Lonchura striata: one gene and its partners. The main gene of each other region encodes a partner of the protein of the gene in region 4 in a complex. Links are inferred from orthologs where the notes say so. Each region holds a gene or a part of one and is shown on either strand. Other genes may lie near its edges.

Region 1 (9,015 bases), on a different chromosome or scaffold from region 4:
AAGTCGGAGGCGGGGGCCGCGCGCGTGGCGTCGCCTCAGCGTCTGTTCGGGAGGCCGCGCGGGGCTCGCGGGTCCTGTCGCGACAGAGCGGAGCTGTCGGCGATAGGGAGCAGGTGAGGGCCGGGGGGTGGGGGGGTGAGGGAGGGGAGGGGGGGAGGGGAGGGGGAGGGGCGAGGCCCGCGCGCGGCCTTGGCGGGAGCGGGGGGGGGGGGGGGGCGGCGTGAGGGGAGAAAAAAAGCGGAAATGTGAGGGGAAAAGTGGGGAAAATCGGGGAAAATGGGAAATTTGGGGGGAAATTCTGAGGTGAGGGGGAAAAATGGGATTTGGGGTGAAAAAGGGAAAATTTGGGGGGGAATGGGGGAAATTTGGGGAAAATGGGGAAATTTGAGGTAAAAAATTGGGAAATTTGGGGGAAAATGGGGAAATTTGAGGTAAAAAATGGGAATTTGGGGGAAATTGGGAAATTCTGAGGTGAGGGAGAAAAAATGGGAATTGGGATGAAAAATGGGAATTTGGGGGAAAATGGGGAAATTTGAGGTAAAAATGGGGAATTTAGGGGGAAATGGGGAAATTCTGAGGTGAGGGAGAAAAATGGGATTTTGGGTAAAAATATGAAATTTTGAGGCAGGGGAGGTAAAAATGGGATTTTGGGTAAAAACAGGGAAATTTTGAGGTGAGTGACTAAAACTGGGATTTTGGGTAAAAAATGAGGAAGTTTTGGGTGAAAAATTGGGAAATTCTGGGTGAGGGAGGAAAAAATGGGAATTTGGGGTGAAAAAGGGGGAAATTTGAGGTAAAAAATGGGGAAATTTGAGGTAAAAATGGGGAAATTTAGGGGGAAAATGGGGAAATTTGAGGTAAAAATGGGGAAATTTAGGGGGAAAATGGGGAAATTCTGAGGTGGGGGAGGGAAAAAATGGGAATTTGGGTAAAAAGTGGGAAATTTGAGGCAGGGGAGGTAAAAATGGGATTTTGGGTAGAAAATAGGGAAATTTTGAGGTGAGTGACTTAAACTGGGGATTTTGGGTAAAAAATGAGGAAGTTTTGGGTGAAAAATTGGGAAATTTTGGGTGAGGGAGGAAAAAATGGGAATTTGGGGTGAAAAATGGGGAATTTAAGGGGAAAATGGGGAAATCTAGGGGAGAAATGGAAATGGAATTTGGGGTGAAAAAGGGGGAAAATTTGGGGTGAAAATGGGGAAATTTTGAGGCAAGGGAGGAAAAATGGGAATTTGGGTAAAAAGTGGGAAATTTTGAGGCAAGGGAGGTAAAAATGGGATTTTGGGTAAAAAATATGAAATTTTGAGGCAAGGGAGGTAAAAATGGGAATTTGGGTAAAAAATGAGGAAGTTTTGGGTGAAAAATTGGGAAGTTTTGGGGTGAGGGAGGAAAAAATGGGAATTTGGGGAAAATAAAACAAATTTTGGGCAAAGGGGGAGCTCGGGATGGGGAAATGGGGTTTGGGGGAAAAGTGGAGATTTGGGAGAAAAAAGGGATTAAAAACAATTAAAAATGAGTCGTGAGGGGAAAGCGAAAGTTTAAAAAGGGAAGTGTGAGGGGAAAAAGAAAAGTTTTGGTGAAAAAGGTTTGGGTGAAAAAGGGGAGGTTTTGGTTAAAAAGAAAGTCTTGGGGGAAATTGGGATTTTTTGAGGGGGAAAAAGGCGGAAAATGGGATTTTAGAGGGGGAAAAAATGGGATTTTGGGTGAAAAAAGGGGAAATTTGGGGTGAGGGAAGGAAAATGGGATATTGGATAAAAAAGGGGAAAAATTTGGGGTGAAGGAGGAAAAAATGGGATTTTGGGTGAAAAATGGGGAAAATTTGAGGTGAGGGAGGAAAAATTGGGATTTTTTAGGTAAAAATGGGGAAATTCAGGGTGAAAAATAGGGGAAATTTTGGGTTTGGGGTATAAAAAATGGGATTTTGGGCAAAAAGGGAAAAAAATTGAGGTGAGGGAAGAAAAAATGGAATTTTGGGGGTGAAAAGAGATTTTTTAAGGTCATGAGGGGAAAAAACGGGATTTGGGGTTAAAAATAAGATTTTAGGGGTTCGTGAGGGGAAGGTTGGATTTCGGGGAGTTTTGAGGGGGAAAAGGGAATTTTTGAGGGGAAAATGTTGATTTTTGGGGGATTTTTGAAGGGAAAATGGTGGTTTTTGGGAGGTTTGTGAGGGGAAAAGCGGAATTTGGGGGAAAAAAATGGGATTTTGAGGGGAAAATTGGGATTTTGGGGTAAAAAATGAGGGTTTGAGGAGGGAAAAGCGGATTCGAGCGGAAAGAAGGCGATTTTGGATGAAAAAAAGGATTTTTTGGTAAGTGTGGGGAAATTTGGGGTAAAATAGAGGGGAAAATGGGAATTTTGGGGTATTTCTGCAGGAAAATGGGAATATGAGAAAAAAATGAATTTTTGGTGGAAAATGGATTTTTTTTTTTTGAGGTGTGGGGTTTTGGGGAGTTTTTGAGGATAAAACTGATTTTTTTAGGAGTTTCAGGGTTTGTGAGGGGAAAAATTGGAGTTTTTTGGGGGAAAGTGTTTTTAGTGGGAAAAAACCGATTTTTAAAAAGTTTTTGAGGGGAAAAATGAAGTTTGAGGGAGTTTAGGGTTTTTAGGAGAGCTGAGGAGTAAAAGTTGAAATTTTTTGGGGTTTTAAAGTAAAAATTGGAGTTTGGAGGATTCTGAGGGGACAAATTGTCGTTTTGGGGGAAAAACAGAATTTTGGGGTGTTGGGAGGGGAAAAATGGAGATTTTTAAAGTTTGTGAAGTAAAATTTAATCAGAATTCATTTTATGAGGTGAAACTTTAAAATTTAATTTAAATTTATGAGGTAAAAAAGCGATTTTGAGGAAGAAAAGTGAGATTTCGGGGGAAATTGGGGAATTTTGAGGAGAAGAATGAAGATTTTGGAGTTGTGAGGGAGGAAAAGGATTTGGGGGAAAGACAAAGGTAAAAAAGTGGATTTTTGTGGAGATTTGAGGGGAAAAAAGTAATGTTTAGGGGAATTGTGAGGGAAAAAGTGAATTTTGAGAAAATTCTGAGGCGAAAATTAAGTTTTTTCGGGGTGTTTTGTAAAAAAGTAATTTTATTGGAATTTTGAGGGGAAAAGTGAATTTTGGCGGAGAGTTGTGAGGAGAAAATGGATTTTTTTTGGTGTTTTGTTAAAAAAAAGAGGAATTTTAGGGGAATTCTGAGGAGTTTGGGGAGTGGAAGTGGTCGTAAGTAGGAAAAATTTAATTTTTGTGGGGGGAAAAAACGTTTTTGTGGAAATTGTGAGGGGAAATTTGGGGTTTGGGGCAGTTCTGAGGGGATTTTGGGGAGAAAAAACCATTTTTTAGGGAAGTTGTGAGGGAGAAAAGTGGGATTTTGAGAGAAAAATGGAGTTTTTTTAAAAGTGTGAGGGGGGGAAAAATGAAATTTGAAGGAGCCTTGAGAGGAAAGGGTCAAAAATTCTCATTTTAGGGAAAAAGTTATTTATTTTAGGGCGCTGTGAGGAGAAAAAAGGATTTTGAGTGAAAAAAAAGTTGTTTTGGGAAGGAAAAGTGGATTTTGAGCGGAAAAAAAAAGTGATTTTGGGGGGAAATGGATTATTGGAGTTGGAAAAAAAGTGATTTTGGGAAGGAAAATGAGATTTTAGGGAATTTCCAGAGAAGTTTAGGGAGTTTGTGAAGGAAAATGGGGATTTTGGGTTTAAAATGGGAATTCATGTAGGAAAACAGAATTTTGGGGAGAAAAATAGGATTTTGGGTTTAAAAGTGAGAATTCATGCGGGAAAATGGCAATTTCGGGGAGAAAAGTGGGGATATTGGGTTAAAAATGGGAATTCATGTAGGGAAATGGGAATTTTGGGAGAAAAATTGGATTTTGGATTAAAAGTGGGAATCTTGTAGGAAAATGGGGATTTTGGGAAGAAAAATGGGAATTTTGGGTTAAAAAGTGAGAATTCCTGTAGGAAAATGGGAATTTTGAGGAGAAGATGGGGACTTTTGGGTTAAAAAGTGGGAATTCCTGTAGTAAAATGGGGATTTTGGGGAGAAAAGTGGGGATTTTGGGTTATAAAAGGGTTTTTTTAGGGTGGGAGGGAAGTTTTGGGGTCAGTGAGGGGGGATTTGGGGCAGGGGGAATTTGGGGAATTTGGGGGATTTGGGACTGTAGGAATGGGGGATTTGGGGAATTTGGGGATGCAGGAATGGGGGATTTGGGGCTGTAGGATTTGGGGATTTTGGGGATGTAGGATTTGGGGGATTCAGGGGATTTTGGGGATGTAGGATTTGGGGGATTTTGGAGATTTGGGGTTTTAGGAACTTGGGGATTTTGGGGGTTTGGGACAAAGGGATTTTGGGAATTTGGGTCTATAGGAACGGGGATTTTGGGGATTTGGGTCTATAGGAACGGGGGGATTTTGGGGGTTTGGGGCACAGGGATTTTGGGGATTTGGGGCACAGGGATTTTTGGGATTTGGGTCTATAGGAACTTGGGGATTTTGGGGGTTTGGGACACAGGGATTTTTGGGATTTGGGTCTATAGGAACTTGGGGATTTTGGGATTTGGGACACAGGGATTTTGGGGATTTGGGTCTATAGGAACTGGGGGATTTTGGGGATTTGAGGCACAGGGATTTGGGGGATTTGGGGCACAGGGATTTTGGGGATTTGGGGCACAGGGATTTTTGGGATTTGGGTCTATAGGAACGGGGGGATTTGGGGCACAGGGATTTTGGGGATTTGGGGCACAGGGATTTTTGGGATTTGGGTCTATAGGAACGGGGGGATTTGGGGCACAGGGATTTTGGGGATTTGAGGCACAGGGATTTTGGGGATTTGGGTCTATAGGAACTTGGGGATTTTGGGCACAGGGATTTTGGGGATTTTGGACACAGGGATTTTGGGGATTTGGGTCTATAGGAACTGGGGGATTTTGGGGATTTGAGGCACAGGGATTTGGGGATTTGGGGCACAGGGATTTTGGGGATTTGGGGCACAGGGATTTGGGGGATTTGGGTCTGTAGGAACTTGGGGATTTGGGGGATTTGGGTCTATAAGAACGGGGGGATTTTGGGGATTTTGGACACAGGGATTTTGGGGATTTGGGGCACAGGGATTTTGGGGATTTTGAACACAGGGATTTTGGGGATTTTGAACACAGGAATTTTGGGGATTTTGAACACAGGGTTTGGGGGATCTGGGGGATGTGGGGGGCCCTGACTCCCGCGTTCCCAGCGCTGGGATGTACAATGGGATCGGGCTGTAGGAACGGGGGGATTTTGGGGATTTGGGGCACAGGGATTTTGGGGATTTTGGACACAGGGATTTTGGGGATTTTGGACACAGGGATTTGGGGGATCTGGGGGATGTGGGGGGCCCTGACTCCCGCGTTCCCAGCGCTGGGATGTACAATGGGATCGGGCTGCCGACGCCGCGGGGCAGCGGCACCAACGGCTACGTCCAGCGCAACCTCTCGGCCCTGCGGCCCAAGAAAGGGGGGGCGGGCGGGGACCCCCCCCCCGGCGAGGAGGAGCTGAGGCGCCTGGAGGCCGCCCTGGCCAAGAAACCCAACGCCGACATCCTCGACCACCAGCGCAAGCGGAGGGTGGAGCTGAAATGCCTGGAGCTGGCCGAGCTGATGGAGGAGCAGGGGTGAGCGCCGCGCGCCCCAAAAACACGCCCTGAAATTTCCCAAAATCCCCCGAAATTTCCCCAAAATCCCCCCAGACCCCCTCGGGACCCCTCCCCAAATTCGGGGGTCCCCCCTGGCACCCCAAAATCCCTTTTAATACCCCCAAACCCCCCCAAAATCCCCCTAAAATCTCCTTTAAACCCCCCAAATTCCCCCCGAAATTTCCCAAAATTTCCCGAAATTTCCCCAAAATCCCCCCAGACCCCCTCGGGACCCCTCCCCAAATTTGGGTCCCCCCCTGACACCCCAAATCCCCCCTAAATTCCCCCAAAATCCCTTTTAATCCCCCAAACCCCCCAAAATCCCCCTAAAATCTCCTTTAAACCCCCCAAAATCCCCCGAAAATTTCCCAAAATCCTCCAAAATTTCCCCAAAATCCCCCCAGACCCCCTCGGGACCCCTCCCCAAATTCGGGGGTCCCCCCTGGCACCCCAAAATCCCTTTTAATACCCCCAAACACCCCAAAATCCCCTAAAATCTCCTTTAAACCCCCCAAAATCCCCCTGAAATTTCCCAAAATCCCCCGAAATTTCCCCAAATCCCCCGAAATTTCCCCAAATCCCCCCAGACCCCCTCGGGACCCCTCCCCAAATTCGGGGTCCCCCCCTGACACCCCAAATCCCCCTTTAAACCCCTCAAAATCCCTTTTAATACCCCCAAACCCCCCCAAAATCTCCTTTAAATGCCCCAAAATCCCCCCAAAATTTCCCAAAATCCCCCAAAATTTCCCCAGACCCCCTCGGGACCCCTCCCCAAATTCGGGGGTCCCCCCTGGCACCCCAAAATCCCTTTTAATACCCCCAAACCCCCCCAAAATCCCCTAAAATCTCCTTTAAACCCCCCAAAATCCCCCCAAAATTTCCCGAAATCCCCCAAAATTTCCCTAAACCCCCCAAAATTTCCCCAAATCCCCCCAGACCCCCTCGGGACCCCTCCCCAAATTCGGGGTCCCCCCCGGACACCCCAAATCCCCCTTTAAACCCCTCAAAATCCCTTTTAATGCCCCCAAACCCCCCTAAAATCTCCTTTAAACCCCCCAAAATTTCCCGAAATCCCCCAAAATTTCCCAAAATCCTCCAAAATTTCCCCAAATCCCCCCAGACCCCCTCGGGACCCCTCCCCAAATTTGGGTCCCCCCCTGACACCCCAAATCCCCCCTAAATTCCCCCAAAATCCCTTTTAATCCCCCAAACCCCCCAAAATCCCCCTAAAATCTCCTTTAAACCCCCAAAATCCCCCAAAAATTTCCCAAAATCCTCCAAAATTTCCCCAAAATCCCCCCAGACCCCCTCGGGACCCCTCCCCAAATTCGGGGTCCCCCCTGGCACCCCAAATCCTCCTTTAAACCCCAAAATCCCTTTTAATACCCCAAAATCCCCCTAAAATCTCCTTTAAACCCCCCAAAATCCCCCCAAAATTTCCCGAAATCCCCCAAAATTTCCCAAAATCCTCCAAAATTTCCCCAAATCCCCCCAGACCCTCTCAGGACCCCTCCCCAAATTCGGGGTCCCCCCTGACACCCCAAATCCCCCCTAAATTCCCCCAAAATCCCTTTTAATACCCCAGAATCCCCCTAGAATCTCCTTTAACCCCCGAAATTTCCCAAAATCCCCCGAAATTTCCCCAAAATCCCCCCAGACCCCCTCAGGACCCCTCCCCAAATTCGGGGGTCCCCCTGGCACCCCAAAATCCCTTTTAATACCCCCAAACCCCCCCAAAATCCCCCTAAAATCTCCTTTAAACCCCCAAAATTTCCCAAAATCCCCCCAAAATTTCCCAAAATCCTCCGAAATTTCCCCAAATCCCCCCAGACCCCCTCAGGACCCCTCCCCAAATTCGGGGGTCCCCCCTGACACCCCAAAATCCCTTTTAATACCCCCAAACCCCCCCAAAATCCCCCTAAAATCTCCTTTAAACCCCCCAAAATCCCCCCAAAATTTCCCAAAATCCTCTAAAATTTCCCCAAAATCCCCCCAGACCCCCTCGGGACCCCTCCCCAAATTCGGGGGTCCCCCCTGGCACCCCAAATCCCCCCTAAATTCCCCCAAAATCCCTTTTAATCCCCCAAACCCCCCAAAATCCCCCTAAAATCTCCTTTAAACCCCCCAAAATCCCCCCAAAATTTCCCGAAATCCCCCGAAATTTCCCCAGACCCCCTCGGGACCCCTCCCCAAATTCGGGGGTCCCCCCTGGCACCCCAAATCTCCCTTTAAACCCCCCAAAATCCCTTTCAATACCCCCAACCCCCCCTAAAATCTCCTTTAAACCCCCCAAAATCCCCCTGAAATTTCCCGAAATCCCCCCAAAATTTCCCGAAATCCCCCGAAATTTCCCCAAATCCCCCCAGACCCCCTCGGGACCCCTCCCCAAATTCGGGTCCCCCTTTTCCCCGTTGCAGCTACTCGGCCGAGGAGATCGAGGCCAAGGTGGCCACGTTCCGCACGATGCTGCTGGAGAAGGACGAGGGGCCCGGCGACCCCGAGCAGAAACCCACGTGAGCCCCCTCATTTGCATAATTAGCATAATTAGCTGCATGGCGCCTCGTTAACCGCCGTCCCCGAGGGGGTTTTGGGGGAAAAAAATGGAATTTTGGGGGGAAAAAAGGAGTTTTTTGGGGTGGTTTGAGTGGGAATTGGGGATTTTGGGGTCGTTAGTGGCAAGATAAGTTTGTTAATTAGGTTCATTAGCATAATTAGCGTAATTATATCTCATTAATCAGCTCCCCAGAGAGGTTTGTGGGGGGAAAAGGGAATTTTGGGGAGGAAAAAAGGAGATTTTTTGGGGTGGTTTGAGTGGGAATTGGGGATTTTGGGGTCGTTAGTAGCAAGATAAGTTTGTTAATTAGGTTCATTAGCATAATTAGCGTAATTATACCTTGTTAATCAGCTCCCCAGAGAGGTTTGTGGGGGGAAAAGGGAATTTTGGGGGGAAAAAAGGAGATTTTTTGGGGTGGTTTGAGTGGGAATTGGGGATTTTTCAATTACTACCAAAATAAGTTCGTTAATTAGCTTAATTAGCCTAATTGTCTTAATTATCTCTTCTTAATCAGCTCCCCAGAGAGGTTTTTGGGGGAAAAAAGTGAATTTTGGGAGGGAAAAAAAAAGGACGTTTTTGGTGGGATTTGTGTGGAAATTGGAGATTTTTCAGTCATTAATACTAAAATAACTTTGTTAATTAGCTTAATTACCACTCATTAACCAGCCCTAGTAATTGGGGGGAGGTTGGGGTGGGGAAAAAAGGGAATTTTGGGTGAGAAAAAGGTGATTTTTGGAGGGAAATTGTGAATTTTGGGAGGAAAATTTGGGGGTTTAAGCTCATTACCGATCTCAATATTCGTTAATGAAGCCTT
Region 2 (8,415 bases), on a different chromosome or scaffold from region 4:
TGCAGCTGCTAAATGCACCCGTGACTGGAGTACTGAAGGCTCAAAAATCCCAGCAGCCCAAGGAGTGGAATGGAATGGAGCGAAGAAGCAGAAAGTTGGAGAGATGGTGCAGTGGGAGGTGTCAGGGCAGAGGTCACGGGCTGGAATGACTTTGTGAGCATAGAGAAGCAGCAGTAAATGGCCTTTACGGTCCCATGGCAGGCAGCAGGGAAGGTGTGGCGAAGAGCAGAAGAACACAAGACGGCCTCCTCGGAAAGCAGCCCCTGCTGACTCACCGGCTGAGTCACAGCTTTGCCCAGCTTCTATTCTTTTTCCAATCAAGGAAACAGCAACTTCCCACGAACTTCTTTTAAGGCTGGTTTGGATGCTGAGCATTCCTGCACCAAGTTTCCACTCTTGACAATCCTCTGTGGCCTTCTGTATCTGTTTCCCAGCAGGAGGCACAATCCTTCAAAGCACACGGTGTCCTGAGGGAGGAAATGGTGCTGTAGTGCTGTGGCCACTCCAAAGCAGAAACAGGATTTACAATTTACTGCTGATCAGCCATGCAAGCTGTGCCTCAGATGGCCAAAATCGGTTTCGCACAAGAAAGGGGAGGCAAGGGGGAAATTCAAGCTGGGAGAGTTCCATACTGGCACTGAACCTCTGCCCTGCTGGGGAAAATGCTCACCTTCAGAGCACTGCTTTGAAAGAGGAGATTGCACATCGTCCTGCTGTACTTCAAGGGTGGGAAGAAGACAGCCTGCAGTGGGAGACATGAAAACTTAGGAATTACAATTGCTTCAACTAAATGCCTTTCTGGATTCAGAAAAAAACCAGTGAAAATCAGTAAGTAAGAGTAATGCTAGAGATGGAAGAAAGGGGACCCAAAATCCAAAGAATATACATTGTAAGATTTCAAGAATAGAAAAATTACACAGGAAACAGGAAAAAAATCCCTACACTGGCAAGGCTAAAAGGGAGTTTTTAAAGTCCATTAGGAATATAAACAATCTTCATAACACTACAAGCTAAGAAGTAGACTACAAAAACATTAACAAGGTTCCAAACAGGCACAGGGTTTTTAGAAATGTTTTTGTTCTTTTTCAGGACACTATGTCTTTTGCAGTCTTGCCATGATTTCAAAGGATCGCTTTGGTGAGACCAACATCCTAAAGCACTGGGATAACCAAATAATGTTCGTCTCCTGGTGTGATCCACAAGCAAATTGTATTGAGAATGTGTACAGGTACCATAAAGGATTTGGGACACTAAGAGGCTTTGCCAGTGACACCAGCAAAGGATTTACTTTTAAGACAAATGCCCGTAACACAAGCAAGTATGTTTATTTGTTGCAGCTCAAAGACTACATGGAATTTTCTAATCCATAAAATGACAACTCTAAGGATTCAAGAGTCATCATGGACATGTACCTGGGTTCAAGCCCCCAGTGTAGTGGTGTGTGTAAAAAGGCCAGTGTGATCCTCAGATAAACAACCACACAGAAAGCTGTGGCAGGAAAGTGATTATATCTCTCTAGTTCACATTGATGGAGCTGATGCTGAAACAATTTTTATATTTTTATTGTTGATAGATTGAATAGAGAGCAAGAAAAGCCCTCAAATAACTGGTGTTAGAAGATTAGAAGAGTCCAAGCAGCAGCAAGACTAGATTATAAAGGATAAATACCCAGTGAGAACACAGGCTTTTAAAATTACCACAGAAAGGCACAAAAGGCACCTGTGGTTGGAAACAAAGACAACTTAAATTAAAAATAAGGTGCAGTTTTAAATTGTGAGAATAATTAATCACTGGAGGAAATGATCAAGGGAAGTGGTGACTTCTGCTTTTCATGTTTTCCATGCAGCACACAATACCTTTCTAAGTGTTGCCACAGCCAAATTGCTCAGCAATGACTGGAGCAGCCATGGGAAGGGGGAAGATCTGGGGGTTTGTTACTGTCTACTTGTTTACACTCTCTGTAGACATTTCAATGCAGAATCATAGGAACATAGGAATTCACACCTGCCACCTTTACACTGAACTTGAGTGGTATCCCCGTCTACATCCCTGCACTTCGGTAGATCTATAATCCTTTCCCTTATGCTTGGCTAGTCAAAAACACAAGGAGAATGTCCATAAATGTCAAAGCATGCCTGGTGTGGGGCAATAATTCTCCATGTGTGGGGTGAGTCCTTGGGAAAGAGCCCTGTGATATGACCCAGAGGAACTGAGAAGCTGATGGTGATATTGATGAGTGCAGGCATGCTCTGAGAATATTTACTGGATGAAGGATCTCTGAGTACTTGAGCTGGGAAGTAAACCAGCTATTATTGTTAGGCCCTGGAGACAATATGGTGCTAAACTTCTTACTCCTAAACTAAATCCAAACAAGTTCAAGATTGGGAAAAGCTCTGTATGATTTGAGATCTTTACACCCAAAAGTTGTGGACTTGTGAAGGTTAAGTGCTTCTGCAATGAAATTGAGTTTGTATTTTTAGGAGTCTGAGCTCAGGCATTTCCACTTCACCAATATCCTTCTTTAGTGCTCAAGTCTTCTAAGGAAACCAAGCTCTTCACCATAAAACACATCTTCATTGGTACACACAATCTGGGGGAAAGGAAGCTCCCTGGGGAAGAGTTTTGGCCAAAGACACAAAGCCATTCCTTCACTATTTGAAGAATCTTCCAATCTGCTCAGAGCAGGGATTGTGTTAGTTTTTAACAGGCAATGGAATACTCTCCTTTTCCTCTAACCCAAGAGCAGGAGAGGTCCCTTCAGTTCTGGAGGTCTTTAATCAAGACTTGATACCTTCTGCCAGATGGAAATTACAACTGAACAGCAGGCACTGCCTTCAGGACATGTCACTGAGCAAAACACAACATTCTGCTGCACCAGGACAGTCAAATTACCATAACAGTCAGTGCTTCTTGATTTAAAGTCCACAGATTTGTAATCTAGGAGTAACACCCAGCATCGCAGAATGATGCACTTAGTTCAGGCTGCTGTGGTCTGCAGCCCAACAACACCAATTCCCTGAAGCCAGACTTCTCTGCAAGGTTTGATCTTAAGTCTAAACTGTCTGTGGTGGAAGAAATCATAAACCCATTTCAAAGGGTGACAATGGACACTTGCAGATGAGAAAACGCAATGCTGGATACTTGGTTATTGACAGGTGTAGCTCTTAGGATGTGACATAGTAATTACTGTCACTATTTGTTCAACTTCAGAGTGAAGCTCAACTTGCTTGAAATGTTTGGTTTCTTTCTAAAGGCCCAGTTCTCCCCAGCGCTTTCCCTGACGGCTCGCTGATGCAAGGTGCCTTTGCTGCTCGGCTCCGCGTTCGGCAATGCCTGCGGGACCTCTGCGGGCTCGCTCCTGAGCTGCGTGCGGGGTGTCAGCACTCGGGAAAGCGTGGCTGCGCTCATCCGCAGCTGCAGCAGAGAGCCCTTCACTTCACCTTCCAGAGCCTTGGCAATAACGTGCGTCTAAAAGGAGCAACAAACACAAGGAAGGAGCTGCACTTTAAGAGGGGGAATTTAATTCCTTAGTGATCGTCGTTTGTGCTTCGGCTTTTTTACACTGATTATAGAATCACAGAACGCTTTGGGCTGGACGGGACCTTAAAGAGTATCTAGTTCTAATAGCCACCGCCGCCGCCGAGGCCGCCGCCATCGCCGCCGCGCGTTTCCGCACCGGCACCGCCATGGCGGGCCCGCCCGCAACCCTCTCTATGGTCACAGCCCCTCTCTCTCCATGGCCAGCCCCTCTCTATGGCCACCGCCCCTCTCTATGGCCAGCCCCTCTCTCTCTATGGCCAGCCCCTCTCTCTCCATGGCCAGCCCCTCTCTACGGTCACAGCCCCTCTCTATGGCCAGCCCCTCTCTCTCTATGGCCAGCCCCTCTCTATGGCCAGCCCCTCTCTCTCTATGGCCAGCCCCTCTCTCTCCATGGCCAGCCCCTCTCTACGGTCACAGCCCCTCTCTATGGCCAGCCCCTCTCTCTCTATGGCCACCGCCCCTCTCTATGGTCACAGCCCCTCTCTACGGCCAGCCCCTCTCTCTCTATGGCCACCGCCCCTCTCTATGGTCACAGCCCCTCTCTACGGCCAGCCCCTCTCTCCATGGCCAGCCCCTCTCTCTCCGTGGCCAGCCCCTCTCCATGGCCAGCCCCTCTCTCCGTGGCCAGCCCCTCTCTCTCCATGGCCAGCCCCTCTCTCTCCGTGGCCAGCCCCTCTCCATGGCCAGCCCCTCTCTCCGTGGCCAGCCCCTCTCTCTCTATGGCCAGCCTCTCTCTCCCTGTGGCCAGCCCCTCTCTCTCCGTGGCCAGCCCCTCTCTCTCCCTGTGGCCAGCCCCTCTCTCTCCATGGCCAGCCCCTCTCTCTCTACGGCCAGCCCCTCTCTCTCTACGGCCAGCCCCTCTCTCTCCATGGCCAGCCCCTCTCTCTCTAGGGCCAGCCCCTCTCTCTCTACGGCCAGCCCCTCACTCTCCATGGCCAGCCCCTCTCTACGGCCAGCCCCTCTCTCTCCATGGCCAGCCCCTCTTTCTCCATGGCCAGCCCCTCTTTCTCCGTGGCCAGCCCCTCTCTCTCCGTGGCCAGCCCCTCTCTCTCTGGTCACAGCCCCTTTCTCTCTACGGCCAGCCCCTCTCTCTCCATGGCCAGGCCCTCACTGTGGCCAGCCCCTCCCTCTCTACGGCCAGCCCCTCTCTCTCCGTGGCCAGCCCCTCTCTCTCCATGGCCAGCCCCTCCCTCTCCATGGCCAGCCCCTCTTTCTCCATGGCCAGCCCCTCTCTCTCCGTGGCCAGCCCCTCTCTCCGTGGCCAGCCCCTCTCTCTCCGTGGCCAGCCCCTCTCTCTCCATGGCCAGCCCCTCTCCATGGCCAGCCCCTCTCTCTCTATGGCCAGCCCCTCTCTCCATGGCCGGCCCCTCTCTCCATGGCCGGCCCCTCTCTGGCGCCGTGCCTGGGCGCGCCGCGGGGCACTGTGGGTGCCTGGCGGGATGATGGCGGCGGTGTAGGGCCGGGCCGCGCGGGGCGGAGGAGGCCGCGCTGTGAGTGCCCGGGGCAGCGCAGGGAGGCTCGGGAGGGCTCTGAAGGCGGGGAGGCGGCCCTGGGGCAGGGGGTGTCGGGGGGAGGCGGCCCTGGGGCAGGGGGTGTCGGGGGGAGGCGGGCTCGGAGAGGGGCCGGGCTGCGGCCGGGGCTGGCGCTGTGATTTGGAGCCCCCAGTCAGGGCGCAGGCCGGCAAGGCCGAGGCGGTTCAGCTGCAGGCCGAGCTCGGTCACTCTCTCTTGGCCGATAGCTCCTCGTAGCGCTAAAGAGGCTTTTGCAAGTATTTCTGAAATCTGAGAGGCTAAAGGCTGAGTCTGGGCTTTGGAGGCCAGACTGCATACAGACCGATTCAGTCCTGCGAGGAGCTGCTGGAGCTGTTCAGCTCGCAGAAGAGGAGGCTCAGGGGAACCTTATCGCTTTCTAGAACTGCTTGAAAGGAGGTTGGAGCCACTTGGTTGGCCTCTTTTCCCAGGACAAGAGGAAGGGACCTGAAGTTGTGCCAGTGGGGCTCTAGGTTGGACATTAGGAAGAATTTCTTCACCGAAAGGGTGATTGGACATTGGAATGACCTGCCCAAGGAGATAGTGGAGCCATTATCCCTCGAGGTGTTTAAGGAAAGACTGAATTTTGGCACTTAGTGCCCTGGTCTAGTTGACAAGGCTGTTTTCAGTCACAGGTTGAACTCAGCTCAGAGGTCTTTTCCAAACTGATTAATTCTGTAACCTAAGAGAAGCAGGGATGCTTTCCAGACTATTGCAGCCACACCAGATCTTGTTCTTTGCCTGATTTCATGGATCCCTCGTGTTACGTATAATTAGCACAGGATAAGTTATAGGAATAAGTGACTTTCTTGGATCATGGGCCTCACAGAATGTCTGCCAACAGATCTAAAATGCTTCACTGAGCTTTAGCTGACTTGTACAGCATCACTGTGAAGTGGCAGCTGTCCTTGATTAACAAGCCAAGGCTAGTTACCATCTCGCTTCTTTTTAAAGATGTTTCCCTCTGTTAATTTTGTTTTTTGAGTAATAGTTCAGTGGCTGTAACTGTTCTGCCTGATGGAATGTTACTCTGAGCTACACATTCTCACTTTGGTGCTGAAGTTGGGTATTTTGTGCTTTCATTCAAAGTGACAAACTAACAACATAAACTTGGTTTGGGCTCTGCAGTCCCATCAGGCAGTGCTGAACACACTGTGTACTCCCAGGGCAGCTGAGGCTGCTTGCAACCTGCTTCACTCTTAGGCACAGAATGACAGTAGAGATTTGGGCATCTGCCAGTTTGGTTTTTAGGACATGCTGAGTTCCTGCAGTTTCTAGGGGAGAGCTGGTGACAGCTTCTCCCTTTTATCCAAGCTTTTTTCCTCGCACTTTGTTTATGTTGCCAGGTGTCCATCAGTGGGTATGATCAGCACCATCCTAGGCACACTGTGGCCTCGGTGAGCTGGCGTTTCTGGTGGTGGTACCTAGCAATGGTCTGGGCAATAGTGAAGGGCTCTTCCCAGTAGGCAGGTACTTTTGACTGCAGTTTTTCAGGTGAGGAAAGAGCTTAGTTACAAGACTGTACTGCTCGCTTTAAGGATGGAAGATCAGTTTCTGTCTGGCGTTATTTACTTTACAATTGTGGCTTCATATTTTAGTTAGACTCCATGTATCTTTTTCTAAGCATATTGGAAGAGACTCTGTTGTGAAACCTGAATAGAATCTGTCCATAAAATGCTGCTTAAATTTTGAGGATCATGTGCTGGGTGACAGCTGGTATACTGTAGTGGGACTTGTCACTGCTTCTTCAGTTCCAGGAGCAAAGTAGCTCCTAATAAGTGCCTTACACTGTGAATTGTAGTAACAGCTTGTTTTATCCCTTGATTCTGTAGGAGTGAAAATGACGACAGCAGCAAGGCCAACGTTTGAACCTGCAAGAGGAGGAAGAGGAAAAGGTGAAGGAGACTTAAGCCAGCTATCCAAACAATATTCTAGCAGAGATCTTCCTTCTCATACAAAAATCAAATACAGGTTAGTATCATTTTTTGAGTGTCAGGCAAAACAGGCTGGGAATGACTGTTTTGTTTTGAGTGGTACTCTAAAATTTCCTCAAAACATGTTGATGTGCTTGACACTGAGCAAGGTCCACAGATTGTGCAGGAGTGCTGAACAAGTGGGCTGAAAGTCTCAAAAGCAGAGCTACGAGCTCAAATGCATTGTAGGTGATTTGGGGAGGTTTAATTTTAGTGATAATTTGTTGCTGTTTATGTTCACTCATTATCAGAAGGTGAATTTCTTGGGCAGTGAGTTGGAAAGTGAGTTGGCATTGTGGCTGAGCCACAAGGAGTACTGTCACTTGCAGAGCACATTGGAGTAAGAGAGGTGAAGTTGAGCACATCTTAAAAGCAGGAAAACCACATTATGTATTTGGCAAAGGACCACTGTGTAAGGGCATTGAGAGGAGGCAGGGGAGCCATGGAATAGCACTCAGGTAATGGGATGTGCTGGAAGAGCTGATGTTAAGCTGCAAGTGGTTTATGCAGGTCCTGGGAGAAGAAATTTCTTTAACCAAAGAGCAAGATAATGTGATCTTTGGAATATTTTCCTATGTTTGAAATGAATAATAAATTTTTAGCTTTTTGAAAGAGTAAATAAAACTTGGAGTCAGTATGATAGAATTTAAATTAAATGTGTCAGTCTAAAAATGCTCATTTTATCTAACTGGTATTACTCTTCTCAGTGGAATTACTGTCAAGGTTTTACTTTTGCACTCTTTTGTGTAGATATTTACCCTGTCACCTGTTCCCTCCTGTCCCTTTGGTTTTTAAGAATATATATTCATAAGGTAGCTGAGTGTTTTGGAGAGTACCAAAACAAAGAACATGGAAAGTTTTGTCAAATGTGTTTTGCTGGTATGAGGAAAATTCCTGGTGGATTGTTTTTAAAACATGTGGGGTTTGGAACACCAGTCTATTGCTTTGGAAGAAGTCTGCGAGGATAGGTATGTATGGGAATATACAATGAATGCTTTAAATCCATCCTTTTGTGTGAGAGGGAGCATCAATTGTCTTCTGTTCTTCCTCCCAAATACCTAACAAAATGTTGTCTTTGTTAAATTGCCAGGACTGCATCACTGCAGGACAACTCCAGTGTTTCAATCCTACTCATGTTTGTTTGCATGGCACAGGCTTTGGGGAGATTTTGCAGCTCTAACAATGATTCCAAATTCAGTTTTTTAATTACAAAAGCAAATTAAATGCTTCATCATAAAGACAGGCTGTGCAAACAATGTGTTTATAATGGCTCACGTCTGGGTTTCTTCCAGGCACTCTTACTTCCAGCACTGAGTTGACAGAGAGGTGAAAGCAATTGCTGCTTGTTTTATTCACTAGTTCTTTTCAAGACA
Region 3 (6,154 bases), on a different chromosome or scaffold from region 4:
TACTTCGATTTCCAAATGCATGACAAACCTTTCGCATTACAAAAACATATATGGACAGAATTTAAATTCACCTGGCAGACTATTACTGGCGCTGTTTTTAGCCTGAATAGGTAACTAATCACATCACTGGACAGGCTTTTATTTTCTATGTTATAGCTTTGGAATAAAGAACTTCCCCTAAGCAGAAAGTGAGAGCTGCCTCTACCAGGCCTCTGCTGTGCTCCATCTCCCTCCACACCACATTCATCAGATCACCACATTATTTCAGTGTCTCATCTGTAAGCACTGTGCTAGTGATCCCTACTGCCTTTCTGCTTTTAGGGTGCTCCTGTGCCTGGCTAGGAAGTTCTCAGTGGCACCTAAATTAAGCTAATTCAATTGTCCTGTGCACCTAAGGCACACAGCTGTTATTCAGCCCCATACAGGAGGTGTAGAGCATCACAGTGGTACTCAGAAGGAACTGATGGAGTGTGAAGCTCCAAGGCCCAGTCTCTGTGATCCTTAAGCTGCTCCTAGGTAAGACACTGTTAGTGCAGGTCATAGATCTCCTCAGTATGACAATTCTTCAGGAGTGAATTTCTCCAGATTCAGTCTGATTCAAGATAATGTGATTATCTTTACATTAATACAGAGCAGCATAAAGTGTATCCCTTAGTGGTAGGACACACAGTATTTCTTCTTTCCTGATTTTTTTTACTCCACATTCTTCCAATCTATAGCTTTGGCAGAGAATCAGCCATACAACCCTAAAACAGCTTTGAGATTTTGGAATATTTATACTCTATAAATGAAAGCAAGAACAAAGCAAAACATAGTTTTAAAGTGAAAGAAAGTTTGAAACTTAACCATGCTTGCAAGGACTGTGTTTCCTCTGTCCCAGAAGCAGCCCAAAGGCTGCTATGAGATGGCAGCAAAATCATGATTCTGACTACAAGGAAAAGAAAGAAATCAGGGGAGTTTACATCAAACAAGGTGGAAGAAGAGGCTTGATTGTGAAAAATGTTTTTCACAGGATCTTTGAGAAAAGCAGCAAAATTGTCTTCCACCTCTTAAAGGGCCAAAATAAGGGCTTTCTGAGGCTGATAATGTTCATAGGCTATAATAACATTTGAGAAACTATATCACAGTTCATGTGATAGAATCAGAAATCTGAAAAAAAAACCCCAAATATGCAATTAGAAAAACATAGCTTTTCCAGCCTAAAACTGCTAAGTGGCCTCTGCAAATAATGATCTAAGAACCCTGTTTTAGCAGAAGCAAATATTTTTAATGAAATATATACTTTTAAAAAATCACATGCCACATACACAATGGGTTCTTATCATTATTGAAATTCCAGCACCATTCTTTCTAGGCTAATGCAATCTCAATTTTTTTTTCATCACTGTATTTGTAGGATAAATCAATATAGTGAAGAATAGAGGAATTTCTGGGAGAAAAAAAAAGGCATACCTCCCCATTTTATCATCTTTCTGGATGTGTATTGGTTTTATCTATTAGGATCGTCACATCCCCTTGTTTGCAGGGTATTTATGTCTCCACACTTCCACCCAAAGAGTCCGTAGGGAATTCAAAAATTTGGTTGTATCTTGTACTGGGCAGCCACTGACAATGTCTTTCTTGGTCCAGCAGCCCCCTCTACCCTTTTTACTCTACATTTCGGAGGTGCAACCAATCACTCCGTTTTATGGAAGAAGAATTTTGACAAGTCCAACTCTGACACCCAGTGGCCTCTACTGTTCCAGCTCTTACAGCCTCCCAGGGTCTCAATCTATTGAAACCTGGCTTGAAGGGATACGGTGTTACTCTCCAAACAGATAATTTCAGCACTAAAATCAGCACATTTATGTGATTTCCATAAGTAAGCATCCATTATTGTATATTCTGATAATGATATTTAATGGTATTCAGTACAAAACCCTCAACATATCTGAAAATGCTGCTTTTTCAGGAATCCTAGTCATACAAGCGTATTACCACTGAGGAATAATCCTCTCCCTATATATATGCATCTCCTTTCCCCCACTCATTTATATTCCTAAACTTGAAATGAAAGTGCCCTAGCATAGGCATTCATTTTGTACAAAATGGACCAAACAAGAAAAAGAAGGCCCTACAATAGATTTTATTTTTATAAAGAATAAGAAATGAAGAGAAAGAGAATATAATTGAATATAATTCTTGAAAGATAGCAGATGGAACTTTTTCTTTTTAGATTAAAATTGAAGTTAAGTAGTTACTTGTAGATAATTGTGGTTTGCCTGTCAGCTGGAAATTTTACTACCTGTTTTTTCTTCCTTAAATTGGTAAGCTCGTCTGGCAGTCTCAGAAGTTCTTGACCAAAGCCAATATAGAGTGAAGTTTTGGTGTGCTTTCCCAGAGTTCTGGATGCCTGAATGCAGCATTTTAATCTGGCCCAGTAACAAACTTGCTGAAAATTTCAGATTCACACTTCTCAGTCAAGTTTGGTGGTTTTTTTTGTTTTTTTTTTTTTTTGTGTTTTTTTTTTTTTTTTTTTTTTGTTTTTGGTTGGTTGGGTTTTTATTGTTGTTGTTTCATTGCTTTGGTTGGCTGGGGATTTGTTGTGGTTTATTTTGGTTTTGGTTTTCATTTGTTTTTGTTTTTCTTTCATGAGAACTATTACACCTGTTTAATTTAATGCAGTTATTACTCCTAGAAACTGCAACATCGACAAGAGATAGATAAGCTTCTGGGAATTTTTCTTCTCCAAAGGCTATTTTAATCAATACATCTCCTGGTTTATAGTTTCCAAGAGGATAACTTCCAAACAGCTGTGAGGGCAGCCCCGTGTGTCACTGTGTTGGCATGGAACATCTATTAAAAGCTAGCATTCTTCTTGCTATCCCACTTTTTAAAAAAACATCATTTAAAAAAGAAATGAAAGCTCTTCCTTGTTGAGAATATGTCCTTTTTTGTCTTTCTGCAAGCCAGCATACATAGAAACTCCTAAAGTGTTGTGTTTGTTTCTTTTTCCTCTCCTGGTCTCTCTGAAAGCAACCACAGAATGCAACTGCTATATCCAGCTGTGCAATCTGCTTCCAGCTAAGTAAGCCTTGGTAGCAATGACTCAACAGATCCTCATAAAAATAACAAAAAAAAAAAAATTATAGTCCTCACTTAGCTCTTTGCACAGAATTGTAAGGACACTTCAGAACGTTGTTTTTACATTGCCTTATATGGCCCTGGTTTTATAAGACACTCACTTTTAAACAAGGGGCATAGAATCATCTGTGTTTTCACATAATATTTCTGTGGATTTCTTTTTGACTACAGGGCATTTACAAGAACAGGAAGAAATAGCTCAGTCCTATTGAAAAATTTTTGGCAATGTGTCTTTCCTATTTTAAAACAAATAATTAAAAACATTACTAGCATATGAAAGCATGAATAATTTCACACATTTTAAACTTAACATTATGTAAACTCTCGAACAGAGGTGGAAAAAACTATTTTGATGGATGATAATATTTATTTCAAGCTTGAGTTTGACCAAAAGAAGATAGGCAACACAAGTTATATTTTCTGTGGGTTTTATATCTGCTTGTGAGTTTAACATTCAGATAAAATACTAGCCACACTGTAAAAAATATTTTTCAACATTAGTATTTAATTTTGACTTAAATCACCTGACTCTGCTCAGCCCATCTGGGGAAGATAAACTCAGCTCTTCAACTTACAAAGGAACAGGGATGGGACATACAGAACTTTCCTCAGCTGTATGTAGCAGAAGTAACCTCACCAAACTTCTTATTTTGGGAGGACCTGCAAATACTGTGCCCTCCTCAGCCCTTCTCTATGTGGACTTGGGTGAGAGTGACCATAGCAAGTGGTGCATTGCCCTCTCACCAAGCTAAGGGCTAACGAAAAGGGGTGTTGGGCTGCTCTTGGCACCTCCTGGGTTGTTTGGTGGTAGCTTTTTCTTTCTCCATGTCGCTTCTTTGGGAAGCAGCCCTGAGCCGCGGTTCATACAGAGGCAGCGTCGGGATGGGATGAAGCTGTGCCCCGAAGCGTGAGCCCCGGGCTCTGCTTTCCTGTTTCTGACACCTGCTGCCAGGAGAGACTTTTCGATGCTGTTCCCGTGTTCCACGACGTGGGTATTTCGTAGCCAGATTTGACAGTGCAGGTCCCTTGGATTCCAGGTGAATGGATCACTATCAAAGCCGTATCTTTGCTTTGCAAACTGACGGGAGGCTCCAGGCTTTGCATCGAGGCTCAGCTGAGCATCTGCCTCAGTCTGAGGCGCCTGAACCCTCACGTACGTGCTTTAGAATAACCCTGCGTTACAGATGGCGGCTCAGCCTTCTAACTACATTTGCCTTACTATGGATTAGCCAAGTGGCGCGATCCGACCGACAGTACGCTATTTTCACTACGACATCAATATTAACTTACGCCGAGGCCCGCCCCCCAGGAGACTACAGCTCCCGGCAGGCTCTTCCCGGCGCGCTCCCTTCGGGCACTGCGGCAGGAACCGCGGCGGGAAGCGCTGCCGCGCCCGCCGGAAAGCGTCCCGGCCCCCAGAGCAATCCCGCTGTACAGGCCCGTTCGTGCCGCCCAGACCCGGCCCCGCCGCCCAGGCCGGTCCCCGCCGCCCGCCATCCCGCCGCCCGCCGTCCCGCCGCCCGCCGTCCCGCGCTCCGCCGTCCCGCGCTCCGCCATCCCGCCGCCCGCCGTCCCGCGCTCCGCCGTCCCGCGCTCCGGCCGCCCGCCCGCCGCGCCATGACGGACCGCTACACCATCCACAGCCAGCTGGAGCACCTGCAGTCCAAGTACATCGGCACGGGGCACGCCGACACCACCAAGTGGGAGTGGCTGGTGAACCAGCACCGCGACTCGTACTGCTCCTACATGGGCCACTTCGACCTGCTCAACTACTTCGCCATCGCCGAGAACGAGAGCAAGGCGCGCGTCCGCTTCAACCTGATGGAGAAGATGCTGCAGCCCTGCGGGCCGCCCGCCGACAAGCCCGACGAGTCCTGACCCTCCGTCCTCCTGGTCCCGGCCCTCTCCCGTTGTGGTTCCCGAAGGACTGACCGGGAAGAAGCCTCGCAAAATGCCTGCCTCGGGACTCTTGACTGCTCGCCTTTTTTCAAGTGGAATATAATAAAGCTTCGTGGGCATTCCTAATGTTTGGTTTGGTAGTTTCCTTGTACGAGCTTTTTGTTCCCGCGGGAGCGCTGGTGCTCGGTATTGGGCATTTCAGCGCAACCATCCGAGGTGAAAGCATCGGATACTCCTAGACAGCATTTCTCCCACCGGGCGGATCGATGCTTCCTTACAAAACTCAGTTTTGGGGGGAGAGAGGGGAACTTTGTTGGTACTCAAAGGGTTTGATGTCTTGGTAGCAGTATTATATGGAGTGGTTTTTGGTGTAGCATAAGCCAGTTCCTCTAGTACTTAAAAATTCCAAAATGGCTTTTCTTTAAACAATTTTCTTGCCTCATTTTCCTTTTTCCTGTACCTCTGAATTTTTCAAACCTTGATTCTTTCTGATACACATTAGCTATTTTTTCCCTTTATGCTTTCTAGTAACCTAGCATTCAAGTTTTTCCTACCTTACATCAAATAAAGATACTAGTATTGGGTTGGGCTCTGTTAATATGGAATACGAATATAATGGTTACTCACTACTGCTTCAAAGTAAAATGCTCTGAGGTGACACAGGCTTGGATCACATTGCATGCTGAACAGATGCTGATTCTGATTTGTCACTTAAAATAGGCTTTCTATTCACTTACAGTAAAAATAAATTTTGGGTTCTCATAGATGGAAAGACCTCAGCCCCAAGTGAGATATGTTCTTGGAGAAATAACATATTCTCATTTCTGTCATGTTTTTTTGTATTAACATTGGAGGGGAAAGTCCAGCATTTTGTGGTCCTATTAAGGCACTATGCAAGCTTGTCAGTGATTATTTTCTGAAATCAGTGATCTCAAGTCAGTACATCCATCTTCTGAAGAATTCAGAGATAGCATTTTTCAGACTTTGTTGTGTGTAATAAGATGAGGACATCGGTGAAGTAGTCGGAAAACATTTTACCTTCAGGATTTTTGGGGAACTACTTCAGTTCACAATAAATGATCAGGGGTATATAGAAAACTGTTTTTCAATTTGCCTGCAAGCTAGTGCAGGT
Region 4 (8,060 bases):
GCACAGGCTTCCTGCTTGCTTCCCATGTTGGGGGTGGCAAGACAAACACTTTCCACAGGAATTGTGCTATTATTTTCCACATCTCTAAATATTATACAAAAGCAGATGCATGGGTTGTAGAACTCAGACAAATCTCTAGTAAGATAAACTGTTTTCTCCTATGAAGCATACACGGGAGTTCTTCATGCCAAGGACAGTTTCAAAGCCTTCAAATTCAAATCCAGAGTCCCCCCAAAAAAAAAAAAAAAAAAAACCAAAAAAAAAAAAAACCACACCAACCCACCATGCCTTCGAGTGCCTACTTTGTGTAACTACTGATATCTCAAGTGCAGTTTAATATATAATAAAAGAGGATTCATGGCTCATGTAAACACTCTTCAGCATCAACTGGAACCAATTTGTGGCAGGGAGGGTAATATCAGACCTATGAATAAGGATATGCATCCTTTTATAGGGCAAAATACAAAGCAACTGTAGCTCCTCTTTGTGGAGATCAGTTCAGCTCTTTAGTCTTAGACTTTTGAACCTAATTACACCAGCATTCCCATTATAGAGAACTTTGCACAAACATAACTTATATTTCATAGAAGCAGAACTTACAAAGAAATCTGTGGGGGAAGCATAGTGGAAAAAGCCAGTGTTGCTGACTTTCTATCCATACAGCCTTGAGTGTAAGTGGCTTTCTCTGCCACATTCCCAGGATTTAGGCTTGTCTCTGCTCAGACAATGGCTGCAGCAGCCTCAGCATCAGCTCAAGATGCAAACTGTTCATATTCTGTGTCATCCCTGATCCAACAGACACAGATAACAGCTCATGAAGCACACGGATAAAGATAACCCAACACATCAGAACAATCAAAAAGATGGAAGCACAAAATGGGAGTGAAATGGAAGAAGTAACAGCCTTCAATGGAACTGCAGTGCCTGTCTAAGAACTGTTATAACTCAGCTGCAGTGCTTATCTGGAGAACTGTCCTAACACGTTCCTAGTGACAAACCCACAGCTTTCATTAGAGCTCCCCAGAAAAAACAAACAAACCAATTAAAAAAAAAACACTTTGCATGAAACCATTCAAAAACTGACTCCACGTTCTTCAGAGACTACAATGGCTTAACAGGTGGCTTTTACACAAAACGGGAGTCAGCCCTTCAGACAGGCTCCTGCTCCTACAGCTCAATACTGTCTTGGGATTACAGACCCAGGAGGATTTGCATTTCCTGAACAAACCTATACTTAAATAAGATGGTTAGGGGGAGACATACATATCTGATCTCTCATCACATGTGTTTATTAACTTATGTAATGCTTACACGATCCATAACTATGAAGTAAAGAGGGACTGGTGCTTCTCAGCTTACCAAAAGAGACTTCTATACATTCCTAAGAAAATGAAGAGGCTTTCTCACAAAAAAGCAATAAAAAGGGATTAAATCCCTAATTTCTTCTAGCTATTGCAAATAAACAGCTAAGCAGCTGAACAGGTTGCCATTTTCTCTGTAATTCTTAAATTTTAAATTCTGTTCACCTTTCTACACTCCCTTTCTGTTTTCTTACAGAAATATGAGGTTATGTGGCCCCAGATCCTCTCATTGCTACAAATGTCCTGGACAAAATAGGCAAGATATGGTGTAAGCTACAATCCACCAAAATTTCTGACAGGAAACAAAGGTTAGGTGAAGGAGCAATGGAAGGCACCTCCTGCATAGAGCCAGCTGATCCACCTGTAATGCTTTTGCCTTGGCTGCTTCATAAAAAAGGAAATGTACAGGGCAAAACCAAAAAATCTTCACCAACTGAAGCTGACACAGAGATCAGCTCCTCCTACACCAAGGCAAAGATACCTGTTTTGATAATTTCTTGATTGTGCAAGATAATTTAGGATGGATGACACTTTTCAGAAGTGTTTTTTGATACTCCCAGACTTATCTCTGGGGTCACTGGGACTTATTCGCAGGTGCAGAGAGAGGTTTCTGGGAAGAAAAACAACAAATTCACAAACCTGTTATTTTAACATTTCTTAAGTTGCTGACTGAAACCTTTCTAATAGAACTTAAGCCTGAAAACAGGTTTGTCTCCCCTGGTTACTTTCCACAGAGCCTTTAAAAGTAATCCACAACCCACAGGTTTGAAGCAAATCCTCAGCAGTCAAGAAGTATTACATTTTATGCTGTGTTTCCACAGGTGAATATGATGTCTTAGTTCCCATAACAGAGAAAACAACTCCTCTCCTTTCCATGGGTCTCCTCTCCCATGTGTGTTTCCCACCTGGACTCCAAGCTGCCTTGAGCAGGAGCTTGGCAAAGGATACCAAGAGAGACCTGAGCATGCTACAGAATAATAAATATTCCCCCTCAGAGGGATCCTACAGGTGCAGCAACACTCAGGAATCTTGGGGACCAGAAGGAAAAGAAAGTGATAAAAATTCCCCTCATTTGTTTAAGGTCAGCCTTTTACACAAGGCAACAGCAGCCTCACCGAAGCAGTTCCTTTAACACCTGCAGACAGTAAAACAACCCTGGGACAAACACTAATAACTCAGCTAGGTTACAAATCTCTGAGAAATAACAGAGCCACAAAAATTGAGCCATGTCCTCTCTTGCCCCTCCCCTGCCCCCTTTATCATTGAAGATATTCTCACTATTGCAAGATAAACATTTTGGCTAGAAGCACATTTCATCACTGAAATGAAACACACTGGGGACATTCACACTAACATATTGCAAGATCATGATCCTTAAAAGCCTAAGATTCTTTGTCAGGGTAATACTTGAGAAAGTTTAATATTAATTATATACATTTAATAGCAATAACCCCCAAATAAAGGTTACGGCAATCTTACACACTCTAAGACGCCTCTGAAGTGCAAAATCACTTCATTTAAGAGCTTGTCTTGCTGCTTGCAGACATATCTAGTAGATATAAGAAAAGAAACAACTACTAGAAATCTAAATTTCCTGAATTCTGGCTTCGGTGTGCTATGGAAGTCACCAGAATAGCCCCTGGAGCTGTGACTACCCTGGCTAGATCAGCCCCTGCTCTGGGAACTGCTCTGGCAAACAGCCATTGCTTGGAGCACTCAGACCATTAAACTGTACCGCCAATATCGGGTGGGTTAAATGCAGTTCTTACCAACAGAAGTAATTGCATTTTTCCTTTTTAAACACAGTTCCCCCCCCCCCTCCATTATTAGTCAATCCCAGCAGCGCTCTGTTTGCATGGACTAGCTCCCTGTGTTTGCTTTCTCTGCTCCTGCTTTCCCACATTTCTCATTCACCTTCTGTTTAATGATAGATGAGGATTTAAAGTACAGCAGCACTTACCACTTATAAAGGCACACATTAGAGGAGATTTCTTACTACATTAGCAAAACATTCTAATATAGACACAGTTCGTACCACCTTGCTGATAATTTTCAGATATATTCAAATATGCAGATAAAAATACATGTATATATTTAAACATATACATAAATACACACTGACTTCAGTTGATAATCATGTGAAGAGCTAAAGTTGTTAGCATTTAGCCTGGCTTAAACTTTTATACCACATAGAAATAAATGTTTTGTGTTTCATGTTTTGTATCTTCCTACACCATTACAATGTTAAAATATTTAGCATTACTGCATTCAGTGAAGCTTCTTTGCTCATCCTTCTATTTATTGTAGTAATGGGCAGATATTTCAGTGCCCTCAGCTGTGTGGGTTATCAGCCCACCACCCTTGTCACTGGTGCCATGTGGATCAGTCCATGACTAATTAGCTTGATATAAAAATCAATTGTATTTGAGATAACATAAAAAATAAAATTCTCACGGCCTGTTCCTTGCCTTATCCACAGAACAGCCATGCATGTAATTGCTTCAATAAAAGCAGTACAAATTTCTGCAGAGTCCACTCCTACAGTTTATGATCTTTATTAACCTTTACCTTGTATATTTACACAACATGAACCATAATTGAACCCTCTTGCAGCAGGTAAAATTGTGGTGGTTTCACCGAGCTGTGTTACTTCAAAACAAGGGACTCACTTTGCTCTGTGCCTAAACCACTGTACAACCAAGCTAGAATCACCTGCTGCTCTTTAATTCACTCCCTGGCTTTGTTTCATTTTTTTTTCACAGATAATTTCCCTCACTGTGCACATATTGTGTCCCGTTTTTACTTTTTATCCCTCAGCTTCATGAATGACAATCCCGTTATTTAAACTGGAACTGATCCAGGAGCAACACTACCCCAAGGACAACAGCATTAGGATGGAATAGCACAAGCACAGAGGTGAAAATTCTTTGAGTAAGAAATCAGTGGGGAAAGGTTACCTGCTTTGCAAAACCACACGTTTAAACAGCAACGCTCTGCCATATAATGAGACAGTCAAATACCTCGACATAGGCTAATTTGTTTTTATAGAACGTATATAATTATATATAATGTATTTAGAGAGAGAGCCAGCTGCGGAACAGCCACATCTCCCCCTGGGGCGCGGGCCTCCCCCCGCCCACAAAATGGCGGCCGCCTGAGGCGCGCTGGCACCTCCCTGTCCCGCCCACAAAATGGCGGCTACCTGAGGGGCGCTGGCACCGCCCTGTCCCACCCACAAAATGGCGGCCGCCTGAGGTGCGCTGGCACCTCCCTGTCCCGCCCACAAAATGGCGGCCGCCTGAGGCGCGCTGGCACCTCCCTGTCCCGCCCACAAAATGGCGACCGCTGAGGGGCGCTGGCACCGCCCTGTCCCGCCCACAAAATGGCGGCAACCTGAGGGGCGCTGGCACCTCCCTGTCCCGCCCACAAAATGGCGGCAACCTGAGGGGCGCTGGCACCTCCCTGTCCCGCCCACAAAATGGCGGCTACCTGAGGGGCGCTGGCACCGCCTTGTCCCGCCCACAAAATGGCGGCAACCTGAGGGGAGCTGGCACCGCCGTGTCCCGCCCACAAAATGGCGGCGGGCGGGCTGCTCCCGCCGCGCTGAGGCGGGCGTGTCGTCTCCATTCCTCGGAGCACCCAGTCCGGTGCAACGGGCAGCCCGTGCGGTGTGCCCCGATGGAACTGGGTCGGCTGGAGTACCTGCAGGCGCTCGTCACCGAGTTCCAGGTGACGGACAGCACAGGTAACAAACGCCGCTGCTCGCTCGCCCCCTCCGCGCCGACCGCTTCCTCACGCACCGACCCTTTTCCCCTGCAGAGGCCAAGGAGCAGGTGCTGGCGAACCTGGCCAACTTCGCCTACGACCCCAGCAACTACGAGTATCTCCGGCAGCTCCAGGTGCTGGACCTGTTCCTCGATATGCTTACGGAGGACAACGAGAGCCTCGTGGAGTTTGCCATGGGTAAGCGCTGCCCCAGCACCCTAGGTCTGGTCCTTAACCTGCCCCAGAGTCACCCAGGGCTCCAAAAACAAACCCACACTGTGCTGATAAAGCCTCGTTTAGTGCACAATGGGAGAGAAGTCAGAGGCAGGTGTGTCTTCCATGTCCTTGCAGAGCTTAATGAAGACACTATCTGGAAAAGATTTTGTTGTTTCGTGGTTTTTTTTCCTAAACACTACCTGATTAACTTTGTACTGAAATCTGTCCTGTAGAGAAGCAGTTGTTAATACATATATTTTGCCAGGTACACTGTACAGATCCATGTAACCATTCTGATATTGGCAACTGGTCTTCTAGAATACTTACTTGACAATTTTAATAAATCTTTTGAGGAACTACCTTACCACGATTTTTCATTGTCTGAACATAAGCTAAAAGGCCAGATGCTGTGAGTGGTTCTGTGAGATGATACTAAATGGATTTGATTTTTAAGGTTTGTGTCTGCATCTCAAAAGTTTCAAGTTTCAAACATTCTGTGTTTCTTGACTGCTAACTCTGTTACCTCCATTCTCTGGCTTTCTATAGCACCTGCAATAAAACTGCTGGCTTGTGTCTTCCCTTAGGGATGAGTGAGCGTTCCTGGAATCATTGTGTGGGAGCAGTTATGTGCAGCAGTAACAGTGCCCTCTAATGACAGGCAGCCGGAGCGTGCTGGTGGAAAATCGCTGGAAACAATCAAAAACGCACAGCCTAGGGAATCGTTAAGAATTTTCCATCCATCCAGAAGATCTGGATGATAGAAATAGGATGAGCTGTGAATTGCGTCACCTCGGACACTTTCCTCTTGCCGTTCCAGGTGGCCTTTGCAACCTGTGCTTGGATAAAACAAACAAAGAGTACATCCTGGAGGCCAACGGGGTGGAGCCCATCATCAACTGCCTGTCCAGCTCCAACGAGGAGACCGTGGTGTCAGCCGTGACCACGCTGATGTTCCTGACGACACCGCGGTCGCGCGCGCAGACCACGGCGCTGCCCGTGGTGGAATGCATGCTCCGCTTCTCGCTCTCGGCCAACACGCGCCTCAGTAACCTGGCATCCATCTTCCTGCAGGATTACTGCAGCCCTCCACAGGTGGAGGAGGCCAGGAACCTCAGCAAGCACACGGCAGTGGGCATTCCTCTGCCCAAGGACTGAGCAGGGCTGTGGAGAGGGGAACCTCCTGTTGTTCTCCCTTTCTGCTCAGCAGGTCAAGAGCAGCATTAAAGAGAGGAGTTGGTGCCACCAGTGCTGGTGTTTAGTTAACAAACAGGATGGAACAGCACTAACACAGCAGCTGGGCCAAGCGTTCAGCTAAGCCTGCAAATATTTAAAATAAAGCAGGTCATAGCTGCACATTGGAAAGTGCTTTGCCAACTGCAGCTCAGCACACGGTTTGCACAAATAACACTTCCCAGTAAAGAGGGGTGTTCTGCTCAGGTTATTGAGCAGAATTATATCCACTCCGGTTCCTGGCTGGTTGTGCTACACCTCTCCCCTTAAGTGTCTGTGACAAGTGACGCTAAGTGTCAAGTCACTGAAATGTCACAGAAAGGTATTCTTCCTTCAGAGAAAGGAGTTTCCCTGCCCCGTTCACAATCTCTCCATCCCTGTGGCACTAGTTATGCCATCCTCTAATTGTGGCACAGGCAGCCAGCTAGGGAATCATTACATAGGGTAGGCAGGCTGTAGCTGCCCTATAAATGAAGAAGTGCTAAGTTTGTCTTTATTACCACTGATGAGAAAGGTGAAGTAAAAAAAAAACGGGCTCATGACAGCCTGGCTCATGAGAACAGCTCTCTTGTAAAAGCTTCTGTTAATAAAACATTAACTTAAATGCTGTGTAATCATTTCTGTGTGAGCTAATGAATATTTTTCTCCAGCACTTGCAGCCTTTGCCTGCTCTTACTCAAGCACAAGGGCCAAAAAATCGAAGCCAGCCTAGTCTCTTTTCATTATCAGCCATGAGGCAAGAGGAAACCCCATAACCAGGGTGGCTAAATACATAAAATTTAAAAGGTTTGAGCTCAGTGCTTCCTGACAGACACCCACACTGGATCTGCTTACATTTGAGAGCCTTCTTCCTCTTCTCTCCCCTCTGGCCCCAGACAGCACAAACCAAACAGGAATGAGGTTAAACACACACAAAAATCCAACCACAGCTGCTTGTAGTTTATAGTTTCTCTTCTCCAACAGCAAACATCCAAAACACTAAGGAGATGAACGGTGCAGAGCAATCTTCCAGAAACACAGAGCACTGTCTGACAGGAGCAGCTCGTTTCTGTGGCTGATCCCTGCAGTGACAGAGCCTCCTGGGCATGGCAGGGGCTGGGCTGGTTGTTTCCTGGCAGTGGGAAGAGCATCCCCTTCCCGGCCTACTGCCTGCACTTGCTTTCTAGGATGGCCTTCCAGTCGTCGGCCCAGGAGCGCAGGCGCCGGCGCCAGACCGGCAGCTGGACGTGCCTGTTGTGGCAGCAGGTGAACAGGATGTGCTCCCAGCTCGGGTTTGGCTCCGCGCCTGTGGGAAGGGGGGAAAAGCTGGAATCAGCCGTGGGGTGGCTCCCCAGCCAGCAGCCAGCCATGGAAATGCTGTTCAAACCTTGGATGGTGTCCTTGTCATCAAACAGCAGGTCAGCAGCCACCACGGTCTTATCTCGGGTCAGAATAATCCGCTCCACAAACTCCGGTCCCAAGTGTTTCTCTACCCTGCAGAGAACTGTA

What was found.
Region 1: ARMC7 (region 4) and uncharacterized protein LOC110483994 share a complex: the UniProt entries of both Homo sapiens proteins name them as parts of the minor spliceosome. The link is inferred for Lonchura striata from reciprocal best matches to the Homo sapiens genes ARMC7 and SRRM2.
Region 2: ARMC7 (region 4) and CWC15 share a complex: the UniProt entries of both Homo sapiens proteins name them as parts of the minor spliceosome. The link is inferred for Lonchura striata from reciprocal best matches to the Homo sapiens genes ARMC7 and CWC15.
Region 3: ARMC7 (region 4) and SF3B5 share a complex: the UniProt entries of both Homo sapiens proteins name them as parts of the minor spliceosome. The link is inferred for Lonchura striata from reciprocal best matches to the Homo sapiens genes ARMC7 and SF3B5.

What each region holds. Positions count from the first base shown.
Region 1 is NC_134637.1:299,454-308,468, forward strand, and holds the start of uncharacterized protein LOC110483994, read left to right. Parts: upstream 1-5,374; 5' UTR 5,375-5,378; coding exon 5,379-5,626; intron 5,627-8,064; coding exon 8,065-8,160; intron 8,161-9,015. UniProt on the Homo sapiens protein: Required for pre-mRNA splicing as component of the spliceosome. As a component of the minor spliceosome, involved in the splicing of U12-type introns in pre-mRNAs.
Region 2 is NC_134604.1:39,648,846-39,657,260, reverse strand, and holds the start of CWC15 (spliceosome-associated protein CWC15 homolog), read left to right. Parts: upstream 1-4,905; 5' UTR 4,906-5,030; intron 5,031-6,901; 5' UTR 6,902-6,909; coding exon 6,910-7,040; intron 7,041-8,415. UniProt on the Homo sapiens protein: Involved in pre-mRNA splicing as component of the spliceosome. Component of the PRP19-CDC5L complex that forms an integral part of the spliceosome and is required for activating pre-mRNA splicing.
Region 3 is NC_134605.1:50,067,639-50,073,792, forward strand, and holds SF3B5 (splicing factor 3B subunit 5), read left to right. Parts: upstream 1-4,662; 5' UTR 4,663-4,740; coding exon 4,741-5,001; 3' UTR 5,002-5,148; downstream 5,149-6,154. UniProt on the Homo sapiens protein: Component of the 17S U2 SnRNP complex of the spliceosome, a large ribonucleoprotein complex that removes introns from transcribed pre-mRNAs.
Region 4 is NC_134621.1:5,394,709-5,402,768, reverse strand, and holds ARMC7 (armadillo repeat-containing protein 7), read left to right. Parts: upstream 1-4,891; 5' UTR 4,892-5,039; coding exon 5,040-5,106; intron 5,107-5,180; coding exon 5,181-5,324; intron 5,325-6,159; coding exon 6,160-6,497; 3' UTR 6,498-7,189; downstream 7,190-8,060. Other genes in the region: NT5C (5'(3')-deoxyribonucleotidase, cytosolic type), read right to left, coding at 7,715-7,857, 7,939-8,055. UniProt on the Homo sapiens protein: As a component of the minor spliceosome, involved in the splicing of U12-type introns in pre-mRNAs.